3 linked regions of the Rhinolophus ferrumequinum genome follow. The protein of the gene in region 1 interacts with the protein of each later gene in a pairwise test. Links are inferred from orthologs where the notes say so. Each region holds a gene or a part of one and is shown on either strand. Other genes may lie near its edges. The genes, in order: RALGDS, KRAS and RAP1B.

What was found.
Region 2: the proteins of RALGDS (region 1) and KRAS interact in a two-hybrid assay, tested with the Homo sapiens proteins (3 studies listed by BioGRID and IntAct). The link is inferred for Rhinolophus ferrumequinum from reciprocal best matches to the Homo sapiens genes RALGDS and KRAS.
Region 3: the proteins of RALGDS (region 1) and RAP1B interact in binary tests that used the Homo sapiens proteins (3 or more experiments, as listed by UniProt). The link is inferred for Rhinolophus ferrumequinum from reciprocal best matches to the Homo sapiens genes RALGDS and RAP1B.

Annotation. Positions count from the first base shown.
Region 1 is NC_046295.1:80,657,707-80,661,452, forward strand, and holds the start of RALGDS (ral guanine nucleotide dissociation stimulator), read right to left. Parts: upstream 2,975-3,746; 5' UTR 2,928-2,974; coding exon 2,745-2,927; intron 1-2,744. UniProt on the Homo sapiens protein: Functions as a guanine nucleotide exchange factor (GEF) activating either RalA or RalB GTPases and plays an important role in intracellular transport. Interacts and acts as an effector molecule for R-Ras, H-Ras, K-Ras, and Rap.
Region 2 is NC_046293.1:36,539,380-36,543,125, forward strand, and holds the start of KRAS (GTPase KRas), read right to left. Parts: upstream 2,269-3,746; 5' UTR 2,137-2,268; intron 1-2,136. UniProt on the Homo sapiens protein: Ras proteins bind GDP/GTP and possess intrinsic GTPase activity. Plays an important role in the regulation of cell proliferation.
Region 3 is NC_046293.1:64,832,821-64,836,566, reverse strand, and holds the start of RAP1B (ras-related protein Rap-1b), read right to left. Parts: upstream 2,778-3,746; 5' UTR 2,595-2,777; intron 1-2,594. UniProt on the Homo sapiens protein: GTP-binding protein that possesses intrinsic GTPase activity. Contributes to the polarizing activity of KRIT1 and CDH5 in the establishment and maintenance of correct endothelial cell polarity and vascular lumen.

The sequences.
Region 1 (3,746 bases):
CTCATTCCGATCCACCTCTTCGTTCAGGCCTTGCAGGCACACTGTCTGGGTCAGGATTCCACCTCTGCCACTTACCAGCTTAGTGAGGTGATACAATCTAATTAACTCTCGTGCCTCAGTTGCTTTATCTGTCAAATGGGCTATTGATAGTCCTGACCACAAAAGGACATAATGCATGCAAATTACTTAGAACAAGGCCTCCCACAAAGTGCTGGCTCATGTGAGCTATTATTGTAAACCGCTGGGGTCCAGCTGTGGACTTGCTTCTTCCTGGAAGCTCTCCCCAGTGTCCTCTAGCCCAAGGCACTTTGTCTTCCTCTGGTCTATAAGCATCCCAACCCCTCACTTGACCGGGGGCTTCTGGGCTGCCTGGGCCTGGTTCTGTGCCCCCCAGAGCTCCACAGTCCTCTGGTGAACCTAAAATTACCCCAATAGTGATCTTTCTCTGATTCCTGTGGGCTCTTGCACACAGCAGGCGCCTAACAGAGAACACAGCCCATGTTCAAATCCTCCCAATCCTGTGTCCTTGGCTGTGCATACATTTAGATCAGAGACTTCACTTCTCGGAGCTCCAGTCTCCTATAAAGGGGGTTGGCACCCACTCTGGAGGGTTGGTCAAAGCCAGTTGGAATGAGGTGGTGGTGTCCGCAAATTATTTGGTGGTGTCCAAAATTAGGTGCTACAGACTTGGGAACTGCCTGGTCAAGGCAGTGGCCAGTCTAGAGATGGGGGCATGGGCCAGGTGACCGCCAGAAAGCACAGAACTGCACAGGCCAAGCTGGGTTAGTGGTGGCTTGGCTTAGAATCAAGATGACAGGAGTGGATGCCCAGATGTGCAAGGACATCTGGCAGCCCAGAGAGGATTGGAAGGAAAATGGGGAACAGGGGAGAGAAGGCAGTAACTGCCTGGTGGTTTCCAGAGAGGACAGGGACCACAAGCAGAGCTGCTTCAGCTCTGGCACGCTACAGCGACCAGGAAATCAGCCCCAGGATTGAGGGTGGGGGGGGTGGGGGAGGTGTTGGCAGGAGGGACAGGGACTTCCCCGCCCCCCTGCCCTCCTCCCCCGGCCCATAGTAAATGGTCATTGTGTTTGATTTCCGGCACTGGCCTCCTCTTCTGCCAGGACCCTGATTTTCCTGCCCCAGCCAGAAGCTTCCCCTTTGATTTCTAAACAGTGGCCATGGCCTGGATCTAGTGCAGAGGCCGGGTGAGGGAGAGCAGCAGGAGGGTGCGGGGGGAGGGGAAGGAGAGAGAAGGCGACCCCTGGGCAAGGGTAGGGCTCTCCCTCAGGTCCCCAGGGATGGACAGATGGACAGAGAGGTGGGGGGGAGGGAGAGAAGTGAGCCAAACAGCTCACCCCACCCTGGCCAGGAACCTGCCCGGCCCCTGTGAGCGTGTAGGCCGGACCCTCCCAACACACAAAGCCCGACTGGCTGCCAGACATAATGAAAGTCAGATGAGTACTAGGCTGGTGTCAGGCCTCCCAGGGGTCTGCTCCAGCTGCCAATGAAAGCCAGAGCAGTGGGTGGATGAGGGTCCGGGAACACGCGGGGCTTGGCCACCCGCCCAGCTCAGGAGAAAAGGGTCTCCCAGTCCTGCAGTTCCCTCACCAAGAGCGCCCTCCAACCCCTTGCCTTGGCCCCACGCTGGGCAGGGAGACACACTTTATCCTTGGGCAAATATGCATCCAGGCCCTAGGGACATGCAGAGGCACAAAACCAGGCTGAAAATTGCTGGCAAGTACAACACATGGGGGCCTAAAGTGAAGGGCTGGGGGGGGACACCAAAGGGGCCCTAACCAGCACGGGGGCTCAGGAACTTCACTGTTAAGGCTCTGGCTCGGCCTTGACCTGCTGAGCCCCCAACCCGGGGCTGGCCTGTCCAGGCCCCATGCCCAGGCAGGGCAGGGTGACAGGGTCCATCCTGCATCTGCTACCTCTGAAGTCAGGTGCACAGTCAGGCAGGAGGAGGAAGGCACCACTCCCGGCCCCACCTGCCTGCCCCCATGACCCACTGGGCTTCACTGTGCAGAGCACACTAGAAAGAGTCCCAGCCCTCATCTAGTTACCCCCACCTCCATTAGTGACAGACACATCCCCCCTTCTCTGAATCCTCCCAAATCCTTACAAATTCATTTTCTAATCAAGCAGAAATGAGTCAGTCACCCCATCCAGACATGAGAGGGCCTTGTCCCAACCTTCCAGCCTGGACACCTGGCCCCACAGGTTGGAGGCCTGCTCCGCCTCCAACCCACCTCCTCTGAACAGCCCTGAACATCCAGTCCGAGTCTGACCCCAAAGTGGAGCCGTCTGGAAGGCCACTGTGGTCCCCAGCCCTCTGAGGATTCTAGGACTCTGCCACCCTACCAGTTCGCCACCTGATTGCGAAGCCTAACTGCCCGTGCAGGCTGGGACTGGCAATGGAGATGAAATATGGCCCAGCCCCTAATGTCGGGAAGTTCACAGCCCTAAACAGACAGTGACAGCCCGCGGAAACAGGTCTACCTGGGCTGCAGGGGCACGAGGCCAGCACACCTGGGATCGGTGAGGGTAGGCATTGGGACGGATAAATAGGGTCACAAAGACCCGGTTCTGGTCCCTACATTGTTGCACCCGCTGTGCCGGCGGCCCCCACGCCCACCTGCTGCCGTAAGGTTACAGCGAGGGGGATTTCTGCGGAAGGACCCTCCCCCCAAACGATCAGGACGCTGGGCCGCGGGGTCAGGCCGACCTGGCTCACTCACCTCCAGGCGGGGCAAGTCGGGGTCGAGCTGCGTGAAGCTGTGCAGCACCACCGGGCAGCTGGCGGGGCCGCCCACCTCCAGGCGCACGGCGTCCCACACGCTGCGGCTCCGCCGGGAGCCCGGAAACAGCGGCTCGGCGCCGCCCGCAGGCCCGGCCGCCTCGGCCCACATACGCTGCACCATGGACGGCTCGCAGCGGCGCCGGCGGCCGGCCGGGCCGCGGGACCCGAGGCGGCGCGGGCAGCAGAGGCCCGCGCGGCTCGGCGCTGCCTGCGCTCTGCGCCCGCCGCCCGGCCCCGCTGAGGTCAGGCCGGGGGCGGGGCCGGCGCCTCGGAGGCGGGGCCGGCGGCGTGAAGGGGTGGGGCCGGAGATGCCGGGGGCGTGTTGTGGGAGCGTGGGCGCCCCCGCGAGCCTGCTGGCTGTGTCCTATAGAGCGTGTGTGGTGTGTGTGGTGTGTGGTGTGTGGTGTGTGTGTGTGTGTGGGGGGGGGGGGGGGGACTATGGGTACCGCGGTTATGCACCTTGTGTGGGTGCGTGCGCTGGGGCAGCGTATGTGTTGTGTATGTGACTTGTGTACGTGTGGTCAGGTGGCCCTGGAGTCAGATCAACCTCCCACGAATTCCAGGTAAGCCCCTCCCTAGCACTGTGGCGTTGTACAAGTTGCTTAACCTCTCTGAGCCTCAGTTTCTTCATCCGAGAGGGCCACATTGGGTTACTGATGTGTAGCACTCGGCTGGTGCCTGTGCCTTGCTACACTCTCCTGAGTCCTGGAACAGTGACTTCGGTGCACGTGTGCATTTGGAAGGCCTGAGTGTTGGGGTGTGTGTGGTGTGGGGACGGGCCTTTGCCTGTACTATCTCCTTTCTGCCCTACAGCCAGGGAGGTGAGGGCAAAACCGAGACCAGTCATATAGGGGTTGGGGCCTATAGACATTCAAGAGTAAGGGATCAAGAAGGCAAATGCCAGCTGGAGCACCTGCCACTGTCCTGGTTGGGGGGACCG
Region 2 (3,746 bases), on another chromosome or scaffold:
CAGTACACTGAATACAGAAGCAGAGATAGGAATCCAGATGCCTTCTACTAATCCATATAATTAAGGAGATTTGCAAAAGTCTGAAACAATACCACTCTTCTAACTACTTTTGGTTTTTATTTTGAAAAAGTTATTTTTCATAAAAAAATGCTATTTGTGTTACCAAGTAATGGGCTAATTATTTCTATTTTAAATGAATTAATGTTTAAACTTCTCAGTTTTCATTTCTATGATAGTAAATATTGACATACCCCATATTGGGATCTTCAGTAATTTTTAAGAGTGTAAAGGGGTCCTTACAAACCAAAAAGTTTGCTAGCCTAGGAGATCCTGTGGACAGATATTGGATTAGAGCTTAGTTGTATATACATGTGTGAACTCTGAGGCAGACACACCATCTGGTCTATGTGTTATCCAGTGGTAGTTTCTGAAAAAAATCCTTGAATTGAATTTTAAAAATCAAGTAACATTTAAGTCCACTACAGACAACTGGGTTCCCAGGTAGTCTCACTGAAGATGAAATGCCAGAAGGAGCTTCCTCACCCAAAACTACAAAAGCTACAACCCAACGTTTAGGTAAGGAAAAACAAATTCACTTTTATTTGTCATAGAACTGAATCATCATCTCATCTACCATCTTTAAGCAAGCAGTTCTGATACCATATTTGATGTCTATAGTCTGTTACATGATCAAGTCAGCATTTTGGACATTAGTCACGTAAGAGTGACATCACTCATACGGTTGATTCTGATGATTTATGAACAGATATTTTTGCCTTTGTAATTTCTTTGTAAATGATTTTCCATTACAAATGCAACATGTATACTGTGTAAAAAATTATAAAATACCTTTATAATCATAAAATACCTTAAAATTATAAAATACCTTAGCCTCTGGTTTTCATAGATATCAAGATTTAAGAAAGCCAGCTAGCTATTTCAAGCAGTTGGCTGGCAGATTGCTACAATTAACTCCTCTTGTAAATAAGTGACAAGAAATTGTGTGAGTGCTGTTTAAGAGAACTGTAATAACTCTTGGGATGGATGTCAAATTTGTTAGGATCAGGGTCATACAGAAGAGATTACCCTGGAAAAAGAAAGGACAAGAACAAGCAAATTAAACTTCAAGTATGATTTTGGCTATTACTGTCTACACTCAAAAAGCAAGAGAAAAGCCTACTCAACTAGCAAGAGAAAAGCCCCTGCTTCTGCTCTGCGGGTTTTCTGCGTGTGTTTGAACTTGACAAAGCAAAGGAGACCTCCTGGGATTCACTTTTTTCTTTTCACTAAGTCACAGGCTTTATGTTGTAGGGTGTTGGCCACCTGTTCTTCCATCTCTACCTCCACCTCCTCCTTTGTGGCCACAGCAATGTCACAGCCCATACATGGGGGAGGGGAGCAGTCAGTAACTCGGCTGCAGATGCATTTTTTCCCCCAAACACAATAACCTCAAACAGTGGTCCCGAAGCACCTGCCTATACTCTTCCAAAACGTGACCTCCCCCCTTACTCATTTATCCCCCTACACACTGAAAAGGACCACTATCCGTCCCGTCTGCGCTCGAGGGAGAAGTTTATTCCTTGGTCCTAGAGATGCTAGATGCAGCAGGGAAGGCAGCAGCCGAGGCAAGCCGAGTGCTGGAAAGGGAGGAAGAGGTGCGGGAGCGAAGGGAGAGAGGGAGGTGGGGGGGGAGAAAAAGAAAAAGAAAGAGAGAGACAAGGGGGAAGGGAGACTGGAGCGCAACGGGAGTAACCTCCACCGCACCCGACCGCCCGGAGGGGCAGCCCGCCCGGCCGGCGAGTTTCTCCCCGGCCGCCTCCAGTCGCAGCTCTAGGGGAGGAGGAAGGAAGGGGTTCCCCGTCCAGGAAGCAGCACAAGCGGCGGCCGCCTCTAGCCTCACCCTCCTCAGCCCCGCACCGCCTATTCCCCATTGCCCGCGTCGCCGTGTCCCCACGCCTCTCGCTGCAGACCACCCCCACAGCGTCCGCCAGCTCGCTCTCCCCGGCTCCACGCCCGCGCCCCCTTCCCGCCCCTCCCGGGACCCCTAATTCATTCACTCGCCGCCGGCCCCGCCCGGCGCGGGCGAGAAGGGTCGGGACCAGGGCAGGGGCCCAAGAGGGGTGGTCTGCTCCGTACCTCTCTCCCGCACCTGGGAGCCGCCAAGCCTCTGGCCCCCGCCGCCGCCTTCAGTGCCTGCACCGCGCTCGCTCCCCGTCCGAAATGGCGGGGGCCGAGAGTACTGGCCGAGTAGCCGCCACCGCCGCCACCGCCGCCGCTACCGCCGCCGCTGTGCCTCCGCTGCCGCGGCCGCCGCCTAGGGAAATCGAGCTCCGAGCACACCGATGAGTTCGGGGCCGGGCGGCCGCAGAGGGCAGAGCTATCGACGCGCTCGGTGCTCGATTCCTCTCCAGACGGGTGTGCGGGGAGGGAGCGGCGGAGGGCGGTAAGGGAAGAGGGAAGAGAGGGCCGACGAGCGCCGCCGGGGTGGAGGAGGGGGCCGGGCCTTTCCGGGGGAGGGGGACAGGCCAGCGGAGGAGGAGCGAGGGCCGACTGAAGAAAGCCGTGGCTAGAGTGGCGGAGGGAGAGGGAGCCGGACAGGTGGAGCTGGAGGGTCTGGGCGGCGCCTCGGCGGGGGCCATTGCTGGACCCAAGCGGCCGCCCGCCCCTCGGTTCTAGCAGCGGAGCGGAACCCGCAGCCGCAGATTCGGAACCGGACGGACCCTCGGTGGGCCACACACACACACACGCGCACACACACACACACACACACACACACACACACACACGCACACACGCACACACCCCCCCCCCCCGGAGAGACAACCATAAGCGACTTTGCCGCACCCCTCTCGGTTCTACACAGAGAAGCTGCGAAAATCCCGCCACCCCTCGGGGTCGGCCTACAGTTGTGACTTTCATTTACTATAATTTATTCCATGTAAATAAACATGCAGTCACCAAATGTGGGAGGGGGAGACGTGGCAGGCAGTGCTCCACCCTGGGGCTTCCGGATCAAGGTTGATTATTACCAGCCTCGACGGTCGAGGGGGGGGAACCTAGCCCCAGGCCCAAACAAACCTGACAGACCCTTTCGTCTTTAATCTTATGTGGGAAGGGGTCTGTTGTTTTGGGTGGTTGTTTCTAATGGATATTTTGAAACGGTCACAGGTGACTCTGAACAGGGACCTCAAATGTATTCATTGCCCCTGATGGCACCAGCAGAACCCAAGTTAATAAGTACAAATGCCCTTGATAGTTTAGACCTGAGGAAAATCATTCAAACATTAATTAGAAGATTGAGATTAACCAGTTAACATTCAGAGAGTGAACACATCAAACAATGAGAATTAAATCTAGTATAGCCAGAGTCTGCGTGGATACGCTACCTAGAAAGGTAAATTGTCCACACGAATACAACAATTATTTTAAATCCCAACTATTGTATCTGTTAACCTAGGCCTTTCACCAACTGTCACCCTTTCTTCCTGCCCCATATGTGGGCTGTAATCTGCAGGATTTGTTCCTGTTGCCCTGGCCCTGTTGTAGCAATTGGTAGCAGGTACAAGAGAGGAAGTGGAACACCGTGGAACACACGTCCACTATAAATCCACAACACTTCCTCTGACTGCTACTTATAAATCTTTCTTCAGATGTCTTCTAATGAGTTTTTTTCCCCATAAAAGATCATCTATGATACAGCATCTCTCCATCCTTCCCCCCAAATCCTATCTCTCTTCCAGCTTTAT
Region 3 (3,746 bases), on another chromosome or scaffold:
TGTTATCAACCTCTGCATAACAGGCCTTCTACCAAAATACATTGGAAATTACACTTGGTAATATCCTTATGTATGTGGATCAATTCTCTATCACACTTGACTAGGCCCTCCTTACATGGTGGGTGGCTTCTTACCATGGGTGCTCATCTTCCCTTTATACAGCTAAGAGAAAATATTGAAATTCTATAGTAAAGGATTGTTTTGAAGATAAAATGGAAATCAATTAGTAAAGTTAGATTCCAAAGCCAATGTGGAAATGTTTCTTTTTGAAGGGATACAAAGTTCTCTTCAAATATCCTCTCTTTAAATGTTCATTACAGTTAATCCCTAAATCTAAATGCTAAACACTATACACACAGGCAAGTTTCTAGGAACTAAGAATACAGTGGAGAATGAAACAAAGTTCCTACCCTCATGGTGCTTCCACTTAACTGGGATTGTCTATGTGCAAGGTACCATGCCAGTGCTTTGGGGCATACAAAGAACACATCCTGTCTTTAGAGTTCACAATTTAGTGGAATAGATACATAACAAAGATACATATAAAGACAACAGAAGATAGGAAGTGATATGTGTCATAGACAGGAAGAGCGATGACTTTCATGGGGTAGGGGGAAGGCAAAAGACACGAAGAGTATTCATTTTCTTGCCCTACACCACATTTTAAAATTATGCCAATTTATTACTGGGCTCCTCAGTTGTATCCTGGTACCTGGCACCTTAAAAACCAAACTGCCAAAAAACAAAAAAAACAAAAACCAAACTGCCTATATGTATTTCAAAGATTTACTTTGGGGATTCCTCAGATAAGACAGCCTCACAATTTATTGTGAATGCCAAACAAGGAAATGCAAGTAAAAACACTGTGTAGTGCAGAGATGGGCTCAAATAAAATTATCACTGAGGGCTCTGTGTCTTAACTTTATTTAATTTCCTGAGTATCAATCTCCTCTCCTAACACCTGGGAATAAAGTACCTAAACTTCCAGTTCCACTAAGGTATCCACCTTTTTTTCCTGGTATGATGGGAATATCAGCCTCTGTAAAATGTAACTCACTATAAAAATGTCATCTTTCTTCCTCTAGGGACCCTATTATAGGATAGTCCTAAAAGTCAGCAGGATTACTAATTAGTTATCTTTTCTAGGCCTCAGTTTCCTCCTCATAAAATGAGAGGGTGGGACTGGATGATCTAAATAAATTAGTCCTTTATGGGCCTTAAAAAAGTCCCATGACTCCATTATGACTCAAATACTACTTAAGAGTCAGCTTTTGGGAGTGATACGAACTAGAAGTTAAATGAACGTCTTCCTTTTTTATAAGTTACTTCTTGCTAAGATAAGGTTTTGTTGAGCAAGTCCAAACAGCATTCTAATTACAAAAAAAGAGAGTTAATGAATTTACAAGTTAGAAGCTTTAAGTTACCAGCACTCGATATATATTACATGCTATTATCAAACAAAAATCCAATTAGACTGAAATAATTTTAAAATATTAAAAATCACAATCTTCATGTAGTGTCAACTTTCTACCCCGTGAAAAACGTGACTTCCCGTTACTGTAATCCAAAACTGCTGATGTTCATACGAAACAGGAGTAGCAGGGCAAAAATGGTTTTCTAAACTAATAAAGAGGATTGGGGGGGGGGGGAGCAGGCGAAGGGAAAGCAAATCTGCTTAAACCTGCAAGGATGATCTTTTCTCCAAAAGCCCTCAGTTTTTTCAGAAGAAAAATCGGATGCTCCGGTTCACTGGAGGTAGGTTTAAATAAAATTCATGGCGCTGACAGTCAGTTTTAGGATTGGACAGAATCGAGATGGCGAAAAAGAGAAGAGTACAAACTTCCTGGGTTTTCTCTCCTTCTGTAAAAGATTTCCTCTTGCTGACGAAGGGGAAAGGCCCCTTTAACAGTTTTTCCCTACGCAGTGGTTGCTGCCAGACTAGGTGGGGCTCCCTCCGCGGCCGTCCTCCTGCCACTTCCCTCAACAAATGGAGCAAACCAGCCCCGTTTCAGGCAAACTTTTTCCTTGTCAGGCTCGAGCCTGCAGGGCGCCGGGGAGTGGTTTCCCCCGAACGCCACTCGCCCAGGCTCGGGGCTGGGGGAAGCTGGGTCTTTGCAAAAGACAACTTTCTGGTTTCCGTTCTAACTTCCACCCACACCAGGAAGAGAACCGAGGCGGCCAGCGAGGGGGCTCCGGGACGGGGGACTACAGGCAAGGAGAGAGGTTAAGGCGGCCGCGGGCAGAAAGGAGTGGTGCTGGGGGGGGTCCTCGGGCTCTCACTTCCTCCGCCATATTTCAGACATTTGACCCCTTCCGCAAAGCGCGCTGTTTCCCCGCGGCGGCGGCGGCGGCGGCGGCAGCAGCTCGCCCCCGCCGGCCCGGGAGGCAGCGCGCTCGCCGGCCCGGCGCCGGTCCCTCGCACCACCTGCCGCGCTCCGAGACCGCCGCCGCCGGGGCCCCTGACCGCCGCGCGCGCCCCGCCCGGCCCGCGCCGCACCCCACCCGCTCCTCTGAGCCGGCGCCGGGCCCCCGCCCCGCGCGGCCGCGGCCGCTGCCGCCGCTCCCTTCATCGGCCACGCACGCACTCTGCGAACCTCTCACGCTGTCACCGAGTCCCCGCAGCCAGCGTCGCCCCGCGCCTCGCGCTTCCTCCGGGTCGCTGGTCCCGGCGCCACGGCGGTCCTGCCGCTGCCGCCGCCGCCGCCTCTCCGGCTGGTTTACACGCCTGACTCTGGGCGAGGTTTGGCGGTGTCGCCTTGACGTCAGGCGTTCAGCCTCGCTCTCGCTTCCGCCCGCGGGCGGGGTGCGCGGGTACGAGGCCCGGGAAGGGGCGGGGCCGCGGGGCGGAGCGAGGGGAGCCGAGGGGCGGGGCCTTCCGCGCCTTCGCGGCGGCGGCCGGACACGCGCGGTACCCTTCACGGTGTTTCCTCCGCGGTGTTTCTCTCCGGCCCCCACCGCCCCTTCAAACTGGCCTCGGCCCTCTGGCTCCGGGAGGATCCGCGTGTTGGCTTCCCGGACGTCAGCGGGTTACACTATTGTGAAGGGCTTAGAAACCCTCCGAAACTCAAAAGGTGTCTTTAAGGCAAACTGGAATTCAGTCACTAACGCCACCAAACAGTTGGTGACTGCGTATTCCTTTGTGCTGGGGAAAGTGGCTGGAGAAGTAACCCAGCGCGCAGTGTCCACACCTAGAGCCTCGTGAAGGTTTTTTTCTTGAATTGACAAGTATTTCATCCTCTGGTGTGTTAACCCGGGTGAACTCTTTCCAATTTACTTTGCCAAAGTCAGTTAACAAATCGATGATCCCAAACAATTTTGTACTCTGAGCCTAAATCAACCGTTTATATGAATAAAATAAATCGCCTATTTAAATGCATGACTCGGGCACTTTAAAGGGTTACTCATAGGTAGGTTTATGATGTGACTGGTGGGCAACAGAAAGCACTTTCGGTTCCAAAAAGTGCGGGAACTTAACCATTATTAGGGAAAAGACTGAACTACACCTACCCTTCCTACAAGACATCGGCTTTTTTATGAACCGAAGTTTTGATGGGCGAGAGGTTCAAAGAGAGCAAAGTGCAGGGTAAAGTAGGGGTTTGGGGCGGGGAGTCATTGAATTCTGAATGAATGAATTTCAAATAAATTTAACTTTACTGACTTTACAATTATTGCGTGAAACTGTGAGAATTCTGAAAGCCTGAAACTCTGAGTTCATGGAAGCAGATATTACCTGGGTGTACTGTTTT